Linked DNA regions of Callithrix jacchus. The protein of the gene in region 3 purifies or fractionates together with the protein of the main gene of each other region. This does not show direct contact. Links are inferred from orthologs where the notes say so. Each region holds a gene or a part of one and is shown on either strand. Other genes may lie near its edges.

What was found.
Region 1: the proteins of FBXW7 (region 3) and KDM6A purify together in Homo sapiens (affinity purification with mass spectrometry; 3 studies listed by BioGRID and IntAct, with this or other methods). This does not show direct contact. The link is inferred for Callithrix jacchus from reciprocal best matches to the Homo sapiens genes FBXW7 and KDM6A.
Region 2: the proteins of FBXW7 (region 3) and MED12 purify together in Homo sapiens (affinity purification with mass spectrometry; 3 studies listed by BioGRID and IntAct, with this or other methods). This does not show direct contact. The link is inferred for Callithrix jacchus from reciprocal best matches to the Homo sapiens genes FBXW7 and MED12.

The regions. Positions count from the first base shown.
Region 1 is NC_133524.1:45,987,250-45,990,903, forward strand, and holds part of KDM6A (lysine-specific demethylase 6A), read left to right. Parts: coding exon 1-295; intron 296-3,654. UniProt on the Homo sapiens protein: Histone demethylase that specifically demethylates 'Lys-27' of histone H3, thereby playing a central role in histone code. Demethylates trimethylated and dimethylated but not monomethylated H3 'Lys-27'.
Region 2 is NC_133524.1:68,409,639-68,413,292, forward strand, and holds part of MED12 (mediator of RNA polymerase II transcription subunit 12), read left to right. Parts: intron 1-222; coding exon 223-324; intron 325-424; coding exon 425-538; intron 539-789; coding exon 790-965; intron 966-1,144; coding exon 1,145-1,324; intron 1,325-2,653; coding exon 2,654-2,725; intron 2,726-3,170; coding exon 3,171-3,304; intron 3,305-3,467; coding exon 3,468-3,629; intron 3,630-3,654. UniProt on the Homo sapiens protein: Component of the Mediator complex, a coactivator involved in the regulated transcription of nearly all RNA polymerase II-dependent genes.
Region 3 is NC_133504.1:44,392,964-44,395,828, reverse strand, and holds the end of FBXW7 (F-box/WD repeat-containing protein 7), read right to left. Parts: intron 2,517-2,865; coding exon 2,248-2,516; 3' UTR 627-2,247; downstream 1-626. UniProt on the Homo sapiens protein: Substrate recognition component of a SCF (SKP1-CUL1-F-box protein) E3 ubiquitin-protein ligase complex which mediates the ubiquitination and subsequent proteasomal degradation of target proteins.

The sequences.
Region 1 (3,654 bases), on a different chromosome or scaffold from region 3:
TCCACCCAGCTGTTCATACAAAGACTGATAACTCTGTTGCCTCTTCACCATCTTCAGCCATTTCCACAGCAACACCTTCTCCAAAATCCACTGAGCAGACAACCACAAACAGTGTTACCAGCCTTAACAGCCCTCACAGTGGGCTACACACAATTAATGGAGAAGGGATGGAAGAATCTCAGAGCCCCATGAAAACAGATCTACTTCTAGTTAACCACAAACCTAGTCCTCAGATCATACCATCAGTGTCTGTGTCCATATATCCCAGCTCAGCAGAAGTTCTGAAGGCATGCAGGTTAGTGTGCAAAAGTTCGTCAAGTGAAAATGCTTGACTTACTGGCATGATAAGAATGCTGAAACATAATTTGGATCTTTTAAGCTATGGAAAGTAAGCAAAACATGCTGTAGTCATTCATCTAAAGTAAGAGTTTGACAGAAGCCTTGATATGCTTAGATGTTGAGGTCAAATTGATGTATCAGATTTGAGAAGTAATCCTGTAAATTGCTTTTTTTTTTTTTTAACCCCCTTTTTTTTTTAAATTGTACTTTAGGTTCTGGGGTACATGTGCAGATCATGCAGGATTGTTGCATAGGTACACACATGGCAATGTGGTTTGCTGCCTTCATGCCCCCGTCACCTACATATGGCATTTCTCCCCATGTTATCCCTCCCTGACCTCCCCCACATCTCGCTGTCCCTCCCTTGGCCCTACCCCCAACAGACCCCCCAGTGTGTGATGCTCCCCTCCCTGTGTCCATGTGTTCTCATTGTTCATCACCTGCCTATGAGTGAGAACATGTGGTGTTTGATTTTTTTTTGTTTTTGTGTCAGTTTGCTGAGAATTAGGTTTCCAGATTCATCCATGTCCCTACAGAGGACACAAACTCATCGTTTTTTATGGCTGCATAGTATTCCATGGTGTATATGTGCCACATTTTCCTTGTCTAGTCTATCATCAGTGGGCATTTGGGTTGGTTCCAGGTCTTTGCTATTGTAAACAGTGCTACTATGAACATATGTGTGCATGTGTCTTTATAATAGAATGATTTGTAATCCTTTGGATATATACCCAGTAATGGGATTGCTGGATCAAATGGAATTTGTATTTCTAGGTCCCTGAGGAAGCGCCACACTGTCTTCCACAATGGTTGAACTAGTTTACATTCCCACCAACAGTGTAAAAGTGTTCCTATTTCTCCACATCCTCTCCAGCATCTGTTGTCTCCAGATTTTTTTAATGATTGCTATTCTAACTGGCGTGAAGTGGTATCTCAATGTGGTTTTAATTTGCGTTTCTCTAATACTCAGTGATGATGAGCATTTTTTCATATGTTTGTTGGCCTCAAATGTCTTCTTTTGAAAAATATCTGTTCATATCCTCCTCCCACTTTTGGATGGGTTTGTTTTTTTCTTGTAAATCTGTTTTATTTCTTTGTAGATTCTGTATATTAGCCCTTTGTCAGATAGGTGGATTGCAAAAATTTTTTCCTATTCTGTTGGTTGCCAGTTCACTCTAATGATTGTTCCTTTTGCTGTACAGAAGCTCTGGAGGTTAATTAGGTCCTATTTGTCTATTTTGGCTTTCATTGCCAATGCTTCTGGTATTTTAGTCATGAAGTCCTTGCCTATGTCCTGAATGGTTTTGTCTAGGTTTTTTTTTTTTTTTTTTTTTTTTGAGACGGAGTTTCGCTCTTGTTACCCAGGCTGGAGTGCAATGGCGTGATCCGGCTCACCGCAACCTCCGCCTCCTGGGTTCAGGCAATTCTCCTGCCTCAGCCTCCTGAGTAGCTGGGATTACAGGCACGTGCCACCATGCCCAGCTAATTTTTTGTATTTTTAGTAGAGATGGGGTTTCACCATGTTGACCAGCATGGTCTCGATCTCTCGTGATCCACCCACCTTGGCCTCCCAAAGTGCTGGGATTACAGTCTTGAGCCACCGCGCCCGGCCTGTCTAGGTTTTCTTCTAGGGTTTTTATGGTGTTAGGTATTATGTTTAAATCTTTAATCCATCTGAAGTTAATTTTAGTGTAAGGTGTCAGGAAGGGGTCCAGTTTCAGCTTTCTGCACTGCTAGTCAGTTTTCCTAACACCATTTATTAAACAGGGAATCCTTTCCCCATTGCTTGTTTTTGTCAGGTTTGTCAAAGATCGGATGGTTGTAGATGTGTGGTGTTGCCTCCAAGGTCTCTATTCTGTTCCATTGGTTTATATATCTGTTTTGGTACCAGTACCATGCTGTTTTGATTACTGTAGCTTTGTAGTATAGTTTGAAATCAGGTAGCATGATGCCTCCACCTTTGTTCTTTTTGCTTAGAATTGTCTTGGCTATGTGGGCTCTCTTTTGGTTCCATATGAAGTTTAAGGTGGTTTTATCCAGTTCTTTGATGAAGGTCATTGGTAGCTTTATGGGGATAGCATTGAATCTAGAAAATACTTTGAGCAGTATGGCCATTTTCACGATATTGATTCTTCCTAATCATGAGCATGGAATGTTTTTCCATCTGTTTGTGTCCTCTCTCATTTTGTTGAGCAGTGGTTTGTAGTTCTCGAAGAGGTCCTTTGCATCCCTTGTTAGTTGTATTTCTAGGTATTTTATTCTCTTTGTAGCAATTGTGAATGGGATTTCACTCATGATTTGGCTCTCTGTTAGTCTGTTATTGTATATAGAAATGCTTGTGATTTTTGCACATTGATTTTGTATCCTGAGACTTTGCTGAAGTTGCTTATCAGTTTAAGGAGATTTTGGGCTGAGATGATGGGGTCTTCTGAATACACAATCATGTCTTCTGCAGATAGAGACAATTTGACTTCCTCTTTTCCTAATTGAATACCCTTTATTTTTTTGCTTGCCTAATTGCTCTGCCTAGAACTTCCAATACTATATTGAATAGGAATGGTGACAGAGGGTATCCTTGTCTACTGCCGGATTTCAAAGAGAATGCTTCCAGTTTTTCCCCATTCAGTATGATATTGGCTGTAGGGTTGTTGTAAATAGCTTTTATTATTTTGAGATACAGTCCATCAATACCTAGTTTATTGAGAGTTTTTAGCATAAAGGGCTGTTGAATTTTGTCAAGGGCCTTCTCTGCATCTGTTTAGATAATCATGTGGTTTTTGTCTTTGGTTCTGTTTATGTGGTGAATTATGTTTATAGGCTTGTGTATGTTGAACCAGTCTTGCATCCCTGGGATGAAGCCTACTTGATCGTGATGGATAAGTTTTTTTATGTGCTGTTGTATTTGGTTTGCCAGTATTTTATTGAAGATTTTTGCATCTATGTTCATCATAGATATTGGCCTGAAGTTTTCTTTTCTTGCTGAGTCTCCGCCGGGTTTTGGTATCAGGATGATTTTGGCTTCATAAAATGATTTGGGAAGTATTCCCTCTTTTTGTACTGTTTGGAATAGTTTCAGAAGGAATGGTACCAGCTCGTCTTTGTACGTCTGGTAGAATTCAGCTGTGAACCCATCTAGACCTGGACTTTTTTTGGTTGGTAGGCTATTAATTGCTGCCTCAACTTCAGCCCTTGTTACTGGTCTGTTCAAGGTTTCAACTTCTTCCTGGTTTAGGCTTGGGAGGGTGCAAGTGTCTAGGAATTTATTAGTTTCTTCCGGGTTTACTGGTTTATGTGCATAGAGTTGTTTGTAGTAAT
Region 2 (3,654 bases), on a different chromosome or scaffold from region 3:
GGATTTGCAGCCCTGACCTTTCCAATTTCTGACCCTTCAACTGCGTGACAGTTCTCCACTGTACCTCATTTTCACAGTTATCTTGCTTTTTCTCCTTTCACTTTACCTCATCTTCTCTCCTATGCTCCTGCCATACACTTCCATGCATGCAGGCATGTACACACATAAACCCACGTAGAGTTCAGCTTCATCCATCGCAGATCTGTATTGTCTTCCTTTTAGCTTGTAGTGAACAGGACTCTGAACCAGGTGCCCGGCTTACCTGCCGCATCCTCCTTCACCTCTTCAAGACACCGCAGCTCAATCCTTGCCAGTCTGATGGAAGTAAGTGACCCTGATCTGAACCAACCAACAGTAGAAAGTGTGGCTCCCTTGCCCCTGTGGATTCTGCTCCTGCTTCCCCTGACTTCATCGCCTTCCCCAGACAAGCCTACAGTAGGAATCCGCTCCTCCTGTGACCGCCACCTGCTGGCTGCCTCCCAGAACCGCATCGTGGATGGAGCTGTGTTTGCTGTTCTCAAGGCTGTGTTTGTACTTGGTATGGGGGTAGAAAGGGAGTGGTGCCAGAAGTGTGTATAGGGTGGAGTGCCAGCTAAACTACAAGGGACAGTCTTTCTCCCTCCTGAAGGTGGTCTCTCTGACCTTTTGGGAGGAGGGGAGGGACAGAAGTATATTTCTGTCCCATAGGGCAGGATTTGGGGTGTTTCTGCCTCTGTGGGCCCAGGGTGGGTCTCCACACAGTGTTCCAATCTCATTCTGCCCTCCCTATCTCCCACCCGTGAACCACAGGGGATGCAGAACTGAAGGGTTCAGGCTTCACTGTGACAGGAGGAACAGAAGAACTTCCAGAGGAGGAGGGAGGAGGTGGCAGTGGCGGTCGGAGGCAGGGTGGCCGCAACATCTCTGTGGAGACAGCCAGTCTGGATGTCTATGCCAAGTACGTGCTACGCAGCATCTGCCAACAGGTCAGTCTCACCTTCCTCCCACACCTCCAAAATGCCTCTGTGTAATATAGTCCTGTTTCCAGCCCGTGATCATACCACCTCCCTACTATACATTGTGTCCCTTACCAATTCCAGCCCATCCCCCATATTGCTAACTCCCTCACTGGTTGCTCCCAGTCCCTGATTGTCAGCTTTCTCAGGAATGGGTAGGAGAACGTTGCCTTAAGTCACTGTGTGAGGACAGCAATGACCTGCAAGACCCAGTGTTGAGTAGTGCCCAGGCACAACGCCTCATGCAGCTCATCTGCTACCCACATCGACTCCTGGACAATGAGGATGGGGAAAACCCCCAGCGACAGCGCATAAAGCGCATTCTCCAGGTAGACCAAGGCCAAGGGGGCCATGGAGGAAGCAATGGGCCCAATCTGGCGAGAAACAATAGGAACCTTGAGAAAAGGAGAGGGAGAGTTAAGTAGAGAGGAAGACAAACAAGGATGTAGGGGAGAGGAGGGGTAGTGAGAGAAACAGCTCCAGCATGGGCTGAGGAGTAAGTCCAATATGGTCTAGACTCCAGAGTAAGAGTGTTATGTGAGGGCACAGCTATCTGGAGTGAATCTAGCTTATCAGTGGGAAGCATAGCATCTGGGGGGCCTAGGTGTGGGTCTTGTATATTTGGCATTTTGGCCATGGCTCAGGAACTGAATAGTAATAGCTACTAATTGCTGAGCACATGTTTTGTGCCAGGTACTGTGCTAGGCACCTGCACACATTTCCTCATTTAATCTTTATGACCCTATGAAGTAGGTGAGCCTCCCTGTTTGACTGATGAGGAAACTGAGGCTTGAAGAGGTTAAGTAACTTGTCCAAGGTCACATAGCTGATAGGTTTAGAGTCAGCCCAGACATGTCTGTGCACTTTTCACTTCACATTGCTCCACATCTTCAGATGACTGGAGAATGGAAAAATAAAGCCGTTGAGGAAAAGCTTAAGGAATAAGGTCTCTTCAGCCCAGAATAGATAGGGCTGAAGAGAGATTAGCTAACAGTAGCCTTCTAATCTCTACAGGACTTTGAGAGATTGTCTTATAAAGGTCCTGTCAGGGACTTTCAGCAGCTAGTCTAAAACAAGAGGAGCAGGCTTCAACTTTAACATCAAGGGTTTCAAGGTTAAGCATTAAGCAGAACTTCCTGATATAAAGGGATGGGAAAGATGTGAAATCTTTCCTGAACCATTTTAAAAATTGAGAAGATTTTCAGCTAGTTTGGACTAATGTATTTTTTCTTTTCTTTTCTTTTTTTTTTTTTTTTTTTGAGACAAGTCTTGTTCTTATCACCTAGACTGGAGTGCAGTGGCACAATCTCAGCTCACTGCAACCTCCACCTCCCAGGCGCAAGTGATTCTTCTACCTCAGCCTCCTGAGTAACGGGGATTACAGACACCCGCCACCATGCCTGGCTAATTTTTGTATTTTTAGTAGAGATGGGGTTTCACCATGTTGGCCAGGCTGGTCTTAAACTCCTGACCTCGGGCGATCCACCCACCTCAGCCTCCCTAAATGTGGTTGTTCTTAAAGATGGGCACATAGAGGTCTCTTTCAGACCTCCAGGAGTCTGATTCAATGTTGCAGGAGATCAGGAATTGGCCTCAGGTTGGTGGGTAGCTGGGGGTAACAGATGATGACTAGTCTGGATGTGGGACCTCTATCACAGAACTTGGACCAGTGGACCATGCGCCAGTCTTCCTTGGAGCTGCAGCTCATGATCAAGCAGACCCCCAACAATGTAAGTAGTACCTGGACCCTCCCTTTCCTGTGCTCACATTCAACTCCTTGTGTTAGGAAGGCAGTCCACCACAGAACCTAGATCTTACCCTTGGGCTCTTGAACTGAGAGATAAGAGGGGATGGGAAAATGGTGAACAAGTGGAGCTGTTGATAAGGGAAATGGGTTGAGAGTGTTGGAGCTCTGAGCTGTGGAGAAGCTTGGTGGTGGTGGTAGAGCCTGTTTCTGTGGCCACAGATGTAAGGATATATGTAAAAGAGAAGACAGTGAGGAATTAGAGAAATACGGAGGTACTAGAAGGCATGATTCCCAACAGATTTGGGTTCCTACCTCCCCATCAATCTCCACCAGTCCTATCCTCCCTCATCTCCCATCTCTCCTACCATCTGCTTTCCTTCACCCCTAGCTACCTATTTTAGCACTTCTGTGCCTTTCATCCTCCCCAGGAGATGAACTCCCTCTTGGAGAACATCGCCAAGGCCACAATCGAGGTTTTCCAACAGTCAGCAGAGACAGGGTCATCTTCCGGAAACACTGCAAGCAACATGCCCAGCAGCAGCAAGACCAAGCCTGTGCTCAGGTCAGATAGAAACATGTTGGGACCCATCCCCTTAGGAGTTTCTCTGCTGGTAGCATGTGTGATGTTAGCTGCATGGAGATGCCAGCATGTCTATCAGGGAAAGGAGAGGGTGGATTGTTCCAGCCTTGCCTGGTTCCCCTGTGACCCTGTGTCTGTTCTCCAGCTCTCTAGAGCGCTCTGGTGTATGGCTGGTAGCCCCTCTCATTGCTAAACTGCCCACCTCAGTCCAGGGACATGTGTTAAAGGCTGCTGGAGAGGAATTGGAGAAGGGTCAGCACCTGGGTTCCTCTTCACGCAAAGAACGTGATCGACAAAAGCAGAAGAGGTAAAGGGGCTTAGGGAGTGGGCCA
Region 3 (2,865 bases):
ACAGAAGAGTCAGAAAATACCAGAAAAAATGGCTTATTTCCCTCTCAAACCTTGCTTTAGTCTGTCAAACTTTCTTAAAGGACAACATGTATTTACTTAGTCTTTGGAAATACGGGTTTGAGTCCTGGTGTTCTGCTAGTTATATGATTTGACAAATTGCCTAACCAGTCTCAGCTGCAGATTTTTGCTCGTCCATAAAATGGGTGATAATAGTGCCTACTTCTCAGGGATAGTGGGAGCTTGAGAGAGAATGAAGAGAAAGTATTTAGGGTAAACACTTAAAATGTGGTCAAAAATCTCAAAATGCATTTGTTACTTATAAGCCTTCTAGTTGTAATTATCACAAAAGTTTTGTGATTCTTAGAGGGAACCAGACTTCATATTTATACACCCCAATGTAATCTACAGAGATGAGCACAGTGGAGTGTCCTCCTTTGTAGTCTAGGAGAGAAATAAAATTTGCAGTTGCAGCACATTATCCTTACTTTCCTATATAAAATAGGCTTGAAGTATTGATTTCTATGTCACACAGAGGCAAAGAAACCAAGACTTTGCTGATTTAAATATTACAGACAAATCCTACTTATAATGAAGTATTATTACTTCAATAGAAGAAACAGACATACTAACATGAAAAAACACATTTTATTGCACTTAAGTTATAAGAAAATAAAATTTCTAAGTGAATCAAACCATAGACACAATCCCTTTAAAGGTTGTTTTCCTCCATCATGTCAGGTTGTTACATAACTAAAATTAACCAACTTGAATCTGATTGTTTTAAATCAGACTATAAATAAAACAAACAAAAAATAAACAGAAGGAGGAAAAAAAAGATCACCTAGGATACAGTGTTAAACCACTTTCACAGTTCAGCTTGAGTTGTGGCTCTTGGAGAATGAGGCAAACCATCTGACTTTTTCATTCGTTTTGTTTGTTTGCATGTGACGCCTTTACTATAAAAACTGAATAGTTTCTGCTTTGTCAGTTACTCAGAGCAATAAAACTGTAACAGTTGTTTTCCCAAATACTGTAAAACACTAAGACTGACCAGCAACTTTATTTTAATTTTGTGTTTTATATATTTTTAAAATATTTTGTCAGTTTTACGATGTACGTTCATCCATTCACCACAGCCCTCAAAAAGAAAAGTTTCTCCACAGAACAGGCAAGTAATAGCTCTGTTCCAAGGAATGTGTTTTAATTTTTGCCCAGATAAAAGAAAATAAGCTTTGCACACACTCTCAATTCTTTACTTGCAGGCAAACTTCACTCTTTATTATCTGAAACTCTTCCATTCTCAGCCTCTTAGAGGCACAGATGGCTCAAGTTTCAGTGGCAAAAAGTCTTTTTTCCGTAACCAAACTAGAGCAAATTTGGAATTCAGTCTGGGACTAAAACGTCACAGCAGAAAAAAAATAAAAAAAAATAATTTGCTTTTTTCTTTCTTTCATTTAGCAGCATAAATAAGTTTGGCCACTGGGAGTACAGTACAGGGGTGGGACAACAATCCCATATTTGAAGACCTACTTCTAGCACCAGCATCAAGAATTAAATCCATCTCAGGACTCACAGAACCCAGGACAACTTGCCACCTTTGAGCAACATATGCATTGAAGAATGTATATGGAAGCAACAGTAAATAGATTAACAGAGGCTAATACTGTGATTGATTGACATTGGCAATGGTTGGCAAAAAAAAAAAAAAAAAAAAAGCTTTTCATGATAACTGTACAGAAACAATTCACAGTAATTTTTTTTAAGCTTTTCCACTCCAGAAAAATGACTTTTTGTTGCAGATGCTCTCTAATTAGAAAGTCAACCAGTACGTGTTTTGATGTTATTGCAGTTCCTTTCTAGGTGTCAGTGGTAAAAGAACAGGCTAGCAGAATCTGTAATGATGTTTCAGTATTAACACTGCCCAATGACCACTGGAGAAGAAAATAAAGAAATAATTGCACCTGGTTTGATTTAGAAAGTCTCATTTTGCAAAGCTGCCCTCAGTCAAAAGTGAAGCCTTTTATGTGATGAGACAGCAGACGCCTCTCTTGTCAGTTATGGTTTGTCATCTCGTCTTCTCTTCCTTCTTAGTCTGTAGGTCTTTTCAATCTGTTGCCCCAAGCCAACATCCTGCACCACTGAGAACAAGGGATTTTTTTCTTTTTCTTTTCTTTTTTTCTTTTTTGCAGGGGGAAGGGCAGGGAGTATATTGTCTACACAATTGGACAAATTCATCTTTTCTGCTCTTCACTTCATGTCCACATCAAAGTCCAGCACCAGCAGCTTGGTTTCTTCAGTCCCATTCCGACTCCCAACTGCACACACCAGCTTTGTGTTTGAGGCTCTGATCCGCCACACAACTCCCCCACTCCCCCCACTCTCCAATGTGACTAGGTTTCGAATAAATTCACCCGTTTTCAAGTCCCATAGTTTTACAGTTCCATCATCTGAGCTGGTAATTACAAAGTTCTTGTTGAACTGTAAACAGGTCACAGCACTCTGATGCTTGTTGGGACCTAGACAAAAACCAAAAGAATTTAATTACTGGTTAGAAATAATGGCTATGGGTTAGTTACATTATAATTTGTAGACTTCTACTTTAGAGCATACAATAAATGCAACATTTGAAGTGATACTTATTTAGAAGCCTATGTCCTCAGTATTTTAGGATCAGCGTGGATGTAAGAAAATCTGGTAGTGATTTGTAACTGAAACATTAACTTTCAAGAGCTCTGTTGTCCAAGAAGCTTGGTTAGCTACCAGACAAACATCTAATTTTTGGCTGTGTGAAAGAGAGCATTCCTTGGTGAGGATGTAGCCAGTACAACTGTATGCTTTCTGCTGATGGACAAATAAGCACTAAGA